Macaca fascicularis: one gene and its partner. The protein of the gene in region 1 interacts with the protein of each later gene in a pairwise test. Links are inferred from orthologs where the notes say so. Each region holds a gene or a part of one and is shown on either strand. Other genes may lie near its edges.

Region 1 (4,836 bases):
TATACGACAGCAGATAATTCACAATTCACAACGTGTTAATAATCTGCTGGCTTTCCCATTTTGTTATACATCTGAACCATCTCTTATGATTACAAATTGTCATGTAAAACAATTACTAATAATTTTGTGAGTGAATATGCCATTAAAACGCTCCTGTATTACAGCAGGAAATAAAAGAGACACTCAGTAGTTACACTTGCCTACTTCCTATTTAACTAAAACTCTTGAAACAACACAAGTAAAAAAGATATCCAGAAAGGATTTAAGGACTTCCTGCCTTCCACCATAGATCTGTCATTGATGTTCTGAAAACTGAAAATAGTATCTTCATTAAAACCCATTTATGCCTAGTGTTCCATATAGGAACGCTAACCTTGTGGGAATCATGTATATCCTACTGCTCAAGGTCATTGCCAAGGTCTGATTTTTCATACACAAAAACAATTTGCAACCTCTGGCATAAATAAGTTAATGTGTTAATAAAGTGTCAATTTTATACATAAGATGTATATTTCTAGGTAAAATTTCCACTTTACCTTTTCCTGTTCTAAATAACTCCTACAAACTATTCATGAATCCTAAAAATACATTTACCAATACTATTATATCTGGAACAATACATTCAAAGTGAAAATGGTAAGTAATTTAAAATGTATAACCAAAATGTCTTTCCATACATTCAGAAACAAGCAGACTTTCTTCCATTATGCACGTGGTGTATTTTATAATGTATTATGTTACCAAATAGAACAGACCTTTAAGAATTGGTCACGTAGCAGCTTCATCTCTTTCAGCCTCTCTCTCCTAACACTTCTATATTGCTGCCACCTCTTCTGTTGTTCTTGAAATATTTTCTAGAATCCCACAACAAAATAGTGATAAAAATTGGGTAAATTTTAATACTTACAAAACACAATTCTCCATTAGCTTTAAAGGAATACTCTTTAAATCAATACTTCTGAACACTTTCTTTTAGACAACATTTAGGACCAATTTTAAACGATCGTGTTCGCCAATCACATGCTAAAAATGATGTATTAACCTTTTTCATCAGTCATTAAGTAAATAATTTTCTTACTTTCACATATTCAACACGTATGTCCTAATTTCTCGATTTCCAATGAAGAATATTTGATGAACCTTCCTACAATTTGTTGACCACAGATAGGTAAGATCTATACAGAAATTAACTAAGACACATTCTTTCTAGGATTTTAAGCATGTATTAAATCTTGGTCATTTCAATAGGCACATAGATGAACCACCCAATAATGATGGCCTTTCTGCACCTTGATTTAATCTCCAACAACAGTGTTCTCCTCTCCTCTACGTGGCACTCACTCACACAGTCATCCCCTAGATTTTGTCATTCCCAATGACTGCAACACCTATGTAATATTAATAATAGCAATGATAAGGAGCAACCATGGGTCAGATCACATCCTGAAAAACTTAAATAAACCTGTTACATAGAAACCTTTTGATCCTCCAACAACTCTGACGTAGGTACTCTTACCATGTCTCCTTTCGTAGATAATTTGCCCGTGGTTTCTGAGCTAGCAATGGTCAAGCTGAGATAAATAATTTTTCCACGGTTTCCGAGCTAGCACAGAGATAAATAATTTTTCCGTGGTTTCTGAGCTAGCAACAGTCAAGCTGGAGTTGGATCCCAAGCAGTGTGGCTGCATAGTCCCAGCCCTTGAACCACTGTAGTCAGCTGTTTCTCCATCTTCCCAACATACAGCCACTACCTCCCTGCCATTGTAGGTCACTCACTTCAGTACTATAGCTCAGGAGTCTGTCGAGACCTGACACCCACTGAATGGAGCACTGTTTACTGCCCATTGCCCACCCCATGTGCTCGGGTAACTCAGTCCCAGCTGAAATTCCACAGCCAGTCATCTATCCTCATCCCTGCATCTATTCCCTGCCCAACTCTCCCTCTGTCAATCTGCTCGGCTAGACCCCAACCCAGGAAATTCCAACCCTACAGCTGCTCTTACACAAATACTCCAACTGGGCTCACTTCAATTTCTTCATCGTTATGATGCTGACTTCAGTTGGACCCCTAATGCTGCATGGCAATTATATTCCCCTGGTACATGAGTCCACTAACGGGCCCCCTCTCTGGGCTCATGCACTCTTCCTTCTTTGCTGAATTTCTGCATGAACAATTACTCCCTGAGACATTGATACAACAGGTTAAACATAAAGCTAAGCCTGATACCAACAATTAGTTCTTCTTCTTCTCCCTCTTCTTCTTCTTCTTCTTTCTGCTCATCTGTGATGTATTCTTCAAGGACATTCAGCAACTTCAGAGAATGTATATAATCACGTTTCTGCCTGTAATACATAATAAGTAACACGGTCAAACTTCATAGAGAGATGAAAAATTAATCCTATTCAAACCCAAACTGACTTGACATAATTTATCCTATAAAGTAGCAAGGGAGTAATAGTAGCTGAAATCTTCTTTTTGGAAAAAGGTGAAATGAGTTGCTCTCATTCTGAAAGGATTCCTTCCTTCCTGACTACTAGAGCAGCTATCTTATATTCTTTACCTGCTGAAGACAAAGGAGGGTTTACTGCACTATAAGTTTCCCAGAAACATTCATTTTCTCTAAGAGCAGTTTACTTTTCATTTCCTTTTACTGAATAACATATGGGTTCTCATAAGTAGGTTCAAGAATATCATAGCCATTCATCCCGTAAGATTTCCCAGAAGAAATGCTTCACTTAACTATTTCTCCACTTTGGCACACCAATGGTTTTGTAAAAGAAATAGTGAAAACAATTTAACTAAAATAGATAACTTATTTACAACATAAGGTTATCCCTTTCTACATAATTGAGTATCGTTAAGGATCTACAGACTAAACATTGAGAACATTTATCTTATATGCAGCTACCATATTTCTAGAAATGGATAAACATTAATTTTACAGGAAGACTATTTTTATCTGGAAGGCAAAAAGAGGTCATCTTCATTGACTTCTAGGTAATATCTCTTGATTCTGTTAAACTGAGGTTATAAAACTAAAGAAACTTACCTGCTTAGAGAACAATCAAGTAAAATATGTTGTTCACTAGAGACGCCAATATGTACAGGGTAGTTTTTGAAATTATTTGCACCAACGAATACAAAGAAATGATATAAATATCATTACGCGAGAAAGCCAACAGTCATACCTTTTAAGTTGTTTTTTTCTCAAAGCATTTTTACTTTTGTTCTTTGTTTTGCTGCAAGCTTTATCCATTTTCATCTTTTTTCTTTTTGCAGTAAGATCCTCTTTAATGTCAGTTAGTAAATGAAAATGGATTAAAAGTTAATGTTGAAAAGTAGTTTATTTGCATATACTGACATCAATATGGGACATTATGGTTCAGCAATACAAGAAGGATATTTAAAATATAAAATTCAAAAATCATTTCAAAAAGCAAGATTTACTCACTTATTTTCTGTAAAACATTTCAGGTATTAATATTCGTATTTCAATTCCAATTTGTATAGCTGAAAATCACTTAATTGACGGATGATGAAAAAAAGCAAATAATTAAAAGTTTCTATTTTTTAAATGTGCAGAAAGGGTTATAAGCACAGACTTTAATTTCTACATTTACAAAATGTCCTACAATTCAAAGGAGATGTTTCCATGAAGTACTGCACAACTCATTATGTAAAGCACACAAAAAAGTATCATATAGTAAAACCATCCAAAGGGTAGAAATAAGTTAATACACAGTAAGAAAAGCATTTTTAAGCAATCTAGTGATTGATGCTATTAACTGTATTTTAATAAAAGAAGCCATGGCCATGAGTATGAAAATTTAGGTTTAGGTAAAGAAATACACTCAAAAACACTTTTAAAATATTTTCTTGCAGCTTTTTATATGACATTTGTGCCCATAGTGCTGTGTTTCAGAAAACTGTAATACTGCAAGGAATGCTTTCCTAAACATGATTTCACATCAGAGACCTACCATCAATTGCTAAAAACAGTTTTCAGCAATCATAAAAGATTTGTACCATAATGCAAATATTTTTTACATACAGTCTCCATCTATAACGCCCAATGTATTAGGCAGCTCACAAAACCGGCACTTTTTGTCACCAAGCAGAGCAAAGCTTTCCAAATATACTGCTTGTATGAATCATCGCTATCGAAGAGCTGAAAACTGAATTGAGCTTTTCAAAAGTAAGAGTATTGTCTCCATCATCTTTACAGAAATTTTCTCAAACTTTTTTGAAAATATGGTCCCTATAACAGTGCAACTAATATTTCACACAGCAATATAAAGTTTATGAGTTTTTGGATCCAATTACATGTTTCTCACTAGATAGAAAAGTTGTCCTTACTTTTGTACTACACAGTTTATTACTGGAATAATAATAGAAAATGATTTTAGAGAATTCAATTTTCTCTTGTACTTCAAATAAAACAAAATCAGAAAGCTGTGACAATAGAATAGCTAAATTAAGAACATGAAAAACTCTTATTAAAAACTCTGAGTACATATGGACAGGAAGAAGGGACCAACAGACAACTGGGCCTACTTGAGAGTGGAGGGTAGGAGGAGGGTGAGGATCAAAAACCACCCATCAGGTACTATGCTTATAACCTGGGTGACAAAATAATCTGTATACCAAAACCCTGTGACATGCAATTTATCTATATAACACACCTGCACATGTACCCCCAAACTTAAAGTGAAAGCTTAAAAAAAACCTGATATATGACTTAATCTGCGTACACTAAAAGGAACGAATAGAGCTATTTCTCCTCCAATGTCCTCTAATATTCTCCAAACAATTAAATTTCCACGTGTATGAAAGAA
Region 2 (5,537 bases), on another chromosome or scaffold:
TACTTTTCTCATGAGAAAGGAGTTGGCTCTAATCGGTCAATCACACATTAAGCAATCAGCCAATTGGAGATTAAAAAAAAAAAACAACAAAAAAAACCTTAAGCTGTAGCATTCTCCTTTTAATTAATTATTTAATTTTTTTTTGAGATGGAGTCCCATTCTGTTGCCCAGGCTAGAGTACAATGGCGCAATCTTGGCTCACTGCAACCTCTACTTCCAGGGTTCAAGTGATTCTCCTGCCTCAGCCTCCTGAGTAGCTGGGGTTACAGGTGCGTTTCACCCTTTCACCATGCCTGGCTAATTTTTGTATTTTTAGTGGAGATAGGGTTTCACCATGTTGGCCAGTCTGCTCTCGAACTCCTGACCTCAAGTGATCTGCCCACCTTGATTTCCCAAAGTGCTAGGATTACAGGCATAAGCCACCATGCCCAGCCCCTTTTCATTCTTTAAGAAACAAATATTTAGAAAACTCCAGACAATTTCTTGAGTGTGGCACTGAGGAAAATAGGAACAAACAGAGAGAGAGAGAACAGAAACTATGTGAGAGAAATAAAATTGTCCCCTGGGTAGTGCAGGTGAGAACAAAAATCTTGACTTGAGAGTGTCATTACCCACTGGCGGAAATCATATCCTCCATTTCTCTCTTACCTGCCCTACTAAATACCAACTAGGACTGAATGTACCTGGTTCATAGTAGTTACCTCATGCATATTAATTTTCGTCCTTTTCTTTTTCCACCAAAATTTGATTGATGATTGATTGATTATGTCCAAGTCTTCTGATCCACCAAAATTTAAACCATGGAGTGACTTTCATATAAACAGATCTGCTGCCAGTTGACTGTCTGGTTGTGGAATACTTAAATACTTCATGTGGGGCTGTCACTACTTGATAATGAGTGAGTCTTTCATGTCTGTGAAAAGTTCCACAAACATTCACTTTAGGAATGAATGGGAGAATTCTAAGCATGAAGATAGTGAGTCAAGAGCTTAGAGTTTGCAGCCAGATGAGGTTTGGTTGAATTTTATTTTATTTTATTTTATTTTTTTAAGACAGAGTATAGCTCTGTTCCCTAAGCTGGAATGCAGTGGCATAATCATGGTTCACTGCAGCCTCAAACTCCTGGGCTAAAGCCATACTCCTGGCTCAGCCTCCCAAGTAGCTGGGACTGCAGGCATACATCATCATGCCTGGCTAATTTTTAAAATTTTTTTGTAGAGATAGGGTCTCAATATCTGGCCAGGGCTGGTCTCAAACTCCTAGTCTCAAGGAATCCACACACCTCAGCCTCATGAGCAGCTGAGACTGTATGTATGTGACCCTACACTCAGCTATGGGCTGAATTTTAGAGATAATGATGACTCTCTTTATAATTAGAAGCAATCTATGCAGATTGGGTAGCATATAGAACGAGTTTAATTTTTTGCTGTCATGTGAGATCTGTAAGGGTTTTTGGGGAATTTTAGGAAGCAGTCCTCTAAGATCTCAAATTATCTCATAGCTAAATGTTGATTACAGTGACTGATGAGCTGCTTTCCCCCTTTATCTCAGATTCATTTCAGTTCTCTTTAGTGGGAAGGGATACAATTCATTTATTCTTTTCAGAGTCCCTTCATGCCCTTAATTTCATAACCCTCTGAGAAGGGCTGACTTGTTAGTATCATTTCATTTCACAGCTGAGAAAACTGAGCTCTGAAGAGATTTGCTGAGAGCAGAGCTCTTCTTCAGCTTTCATTTGTTGAGTGAATGCTTTTCCTGTGACAGGCACTGGGGATAAACGGTGTAAATATTTCAGGGAACTAAGTATCGGTTGGTTGAATGAGCTGAACTTTTGAGAAAGAAACTGCATTGAGCATTCAGCAGAGTTTCACAATGCCTTAGAGTCCAATAATGTGAAAATCAGAATTCGTAATGTGAGAATAGGATGTAATGCACGAAGTCTCAGCTGGGGGTCTGCATCTGGTTTCAGTTCCAGGTCCAGGTAGCACCTTTGCAATTGACCACTTCTTCCCCTCTCCACCTGTAAGGCTAATGGCCTCGGGTCTCGTGATGTTTAGGGCTCAGATGGACACTGAGATGGCCTCTTTAATCAGCCAACCTCTCAGGCCAACCTCTTCCCTTTCTTTTCTGGTAATTACTGTATTGACCTCAAAGCCTCACCTGGCATAGGAAAGATAAACCGTCTCCTTGGTGCCAGGATTTCTGGTCTCTGGCTAAGCTTCCTGCTTATGCAATAGTAGCTGGGAGAGGCCAAAAGAATTCTGGTTGGGCCACACCCACTGGTGAAAGAATAAATAGTGAGGTTTGGCATTGGCCATCAGAGTCACTCCTGCCTTCACCATGAAGTCCAGTGGCCTCTTCCCCTTCATGATGCTTCTTGCCCTGGGAACCCTGGCACTTTGGGCTGTGGAAGGCTCTGGAAAGTGTAAGTTGGGAGTCATTCTGGTCTAATCTGGGCTGCAGGGTCAGAGGTGCGGTCTCCTGGTGATGTGGGTGTGTCCCCTTCTGTAGGCTCTGATCTCTCAGCTTAGTTTCAGGAGACCTCCCTGAGAGTGGAATACATGTCTGGCTGAGCTCCAAGGTTTCTGTGAGGGTTTCTGAGCTTCTGGAAATGCTTTTTCTATGCAACCATGCTGTCGGCCCAGATCCCACTCTCTCTCTCTCTCTGTCTCTCTCTCTCTTATCCTCTGCCTTCTTCACCTGTCTGTGACTCTCAAATCATTAGTTTCTGACTCTGCTTCTTCTTTGTGTCTTCGCTTCTGCTATTTTGTCTCTGTGTTTCTGCCTTGGGCTTTAGCTCTCAACTTCTCTCACACTGGTTCTATTTATCTTTGTTTATCTGTCTCCATCTCCATCACTCCCAGCCTTCCTCTCTGCCTTTGTGTAGCCCTGTTTTGCTCTGGGGTGGGAGGTCTTGACTAGAAGCCTGCTGCCCTTTTCTTGGGTCTGAAACATCCCCTGTCCATTTGTCCAATTTAATCAAGCCCATCAATCCACCCGGAGATCAGGCAGGCATGACCCTTTGGGCTTTGTGGATAGCTCCTGAGGTAAGGGTCTCTCCCCCTCAAAAGTGGTGCTTTGTTCAGCAGGCATGATGACTTCTCAGTGCCCAGCCTACTCCTGACCTCTTGACTTTCTCTTCAAAAGCCTTCAAAGCCGGAGTCTGTCCTCCTAAGAAATCTGCCCAGTGCCTTAGATATGAGAAACCTCAGTGCCAGAGTGACTGGCAGTGTCTAGGGAAGAAGAGATGTTGTCCTGACATTTGTGGCATCAAATGCCTGGATCCTGTTGACACCCCAAGCCCAAGTAAGCAGATCGGGGAACTGGGTAGAGAGGAGTGAGCCTGAGGACACAGCATTAGGGGGATGGCACTGGGTGATGGGTCCTGCCAGGCCTCCTTGTCAATCAGTCAATGAGTCACATGCCCTAAGCAGGAAGGTAGCCAGCAGGTGGTGAAGCAGCGGGCATTTAGATAGTCAGGTAGTTGGAAGCCTCCCACCTAGTCAGCACTGGACGACTGGCCCCCTGCATCAACGGGGGCCTGATGTTCTAGGACAGCCAGGTGCTATGTTTGGGGGGTGACTTACGGAGAAAGTGGTGGTGATAGAGATCGGGGGGGATGATCCGACCTGCTCAGGTTGCAGCAGGGGCTCACTCTAAAAAGTGGAGATAGGAGGGGTTGTGTAAAGTACAAGGCCTCTGACTGGTAGCCTCACTCTCACCCAGCGAGGAGGAAGCCTGGGCATTGTCCACCAGCTTATGGCCAATGTATGATGCTTAAACCCCCCAATTACTGTGAGATGGATGGCCAGTGCGAGCGTGACTTGAAGTGCTGCATGGGCATATGTGGGAAATCCTGCGTTTCCCCTGTGAAAGGTAAGCAGGGGCCGAGGGCACACTGAGCTCCCTCCATCTCAGCCTCAACCCTCTGGAGGCCCAGGCATATGGGCTGGGGGACTCTTGACCCCTATTCCAAGCAGAGCCTCTGTCTGACTCCCTTGTCCTTCAAGAGAACTGTTCTCTAGGTCTCAGGGCCAGGATTTCCATAGGATCACCTGTGGCTTTGATTCTATTCTAGTGTCTCTGGGTGGGGGTCCTGGGCAAGTGACTTTCTGAGTCTCAGTTTCTTTATCGGTAAAATGGACATAATGAGATTGAAAGTGCTCTGCAAAGCACTATGTGCACTAAGAATTTATTATTCAGGTTGTTTCCGTCATGTTTTCTGAGGTTAAATCCCAAACGATCCGTGGAGTTTGAGGATTATCTAATTCAATGCTTTCAATTTAGAGTTTTACGGTGAAAATGAGACTTGTCTCCTGACACTAAGTCTCTCTCAACTATAGCACTATCTTGCTATTTTCTTTATCTCAGGAGGATCCTTGGGCAGAAGGAAGGATGTGAATATGATTTGGCTGATTTCTATGCTGAAGCTCTTATCTGATTTTCTCTCACAGCTTGATTCCTGTGATTTGGAGGAGGCTCTGGAGTCCTGCTCTGTGTGGTCCAGGTCCTTTCCACCCCCAGACTTGGCTCCACCACCGATATCCTCCTTTGGGGAAAGGCTTGGCACACAGCAGGATTTCAGGAAGTGCCAGTTGATCAATGAATAAATAAATGAGCCTATTTCTCTTTGTACCCTGCTTCTGTGATTCATTGGGGTTATGAGTGGGGTGGGAGGCTATGAGGGAAGATCTAGCTATGAGGCCTTCCTCCTATGGGTATATAGTGGGAGGAAGAGGCATAGGGACTGGGGGGACTTGAATTTATATCATGAGTCTATAAGTACTGGCTCTGTGATTTTGGACAAGTGATTTTTATCTCCTAAATTTCAATTCTTTTGTCTGTGAAGTGGCAATAAAAGTCAACTTCTCACAGCATTTGGAACATTGGAGGAAGCATTGTGTGTGTAATAAATAGCAATGTTACTAGGCCACAGCAAGTTCTCAAAAAATAGGGGCTACTTGTGGCCTACTGGAGTGATTTTGAGTCTCTTTAATTTCCTCTCTCTCCCACGACACTATTTCTTCTATTTTACGATGAGAACGTTACCATAATGGGTAGCATTTATGGCACACTATTGGCCATACCATGCAAGGGTGGTGGTGTCCTTGACTCCACGGAGCAGGAGTAACAGGAACTGGGACTGCTAAGAGCTAAGGAGCAGGCAAAGGGCCTTGCTCCACATTGCTCTGCTTTGTGGATTCCAGAGGAAAGAGACAACTTGATTAGATAAGATTTTAAAAAATATTGTAATTCAATCCTTCCCTGGAAAAAGTCAGCAAACTAAAAATTCTTCCTTACTACTTTCAAACAATGCTCTAAGAGCAGCAAGGGAATATATTAAATTAACAATTCAATGAAGAGGAAAAAGAGGGAGAACCATTTTATTTATTTGATGAGTGTGGCAGTCACCCTTCACGTTGGCCCCCAGTGATCTCACCTGTTGGTATTCACACCTTTGTGTAGCCCCCTCCTGCATTTTTCCACAGTTAGTTTGTGTGACTAATAAAACATTACAAAAGTGAGAGATAGTTATG

The links. The genes of interacting proteins can lie anywhere in the genome.
Region 2: the proteins of FAM9B (region 1) and SLPI interact in binary tests that used the Homo sapiens proteins (3 or more experiments, as listed by UniProt). The two-hybrid records come from large-scale screens. The link is inferred for Macaca fascicularis from reciprocal best matches to the Homo sapiens genes FAM9B and SLPI.

Annotation. Positions count from the first base shown.
Region 1 is NC_088395.1:8,681,398-8,686,233, forward strand, and holds part of FAM9B (protein FAM9B), read right to left. Parts: intron 3,290-4,836; coding exon 3,190-3,289; intron 2,344-3,189; coding exon 2,232-2,343; intron 855-2,231; coding exon 756-854; intron 1-755. UniProt on the Homo sapiens protein: May play a role in meiosis.
Region 2 is NC_088384.1:101,336,678-101,342,214, reverse strand, and holds SLPI (antileukoproteinase), read left to right. Parts: upstream 1-2,319; 5' UTR 2,320-2,340; coding exon 2,341-2,425; intron 2,426-3,147; coding exon 3,148-3,306; intron 3,307-3,726; coding exon 3,727-3,876; intron 3,877-4,454; coding exon 4,455-4,459; 3' UTR 4,460-4,635; downstream 4,636-5,537.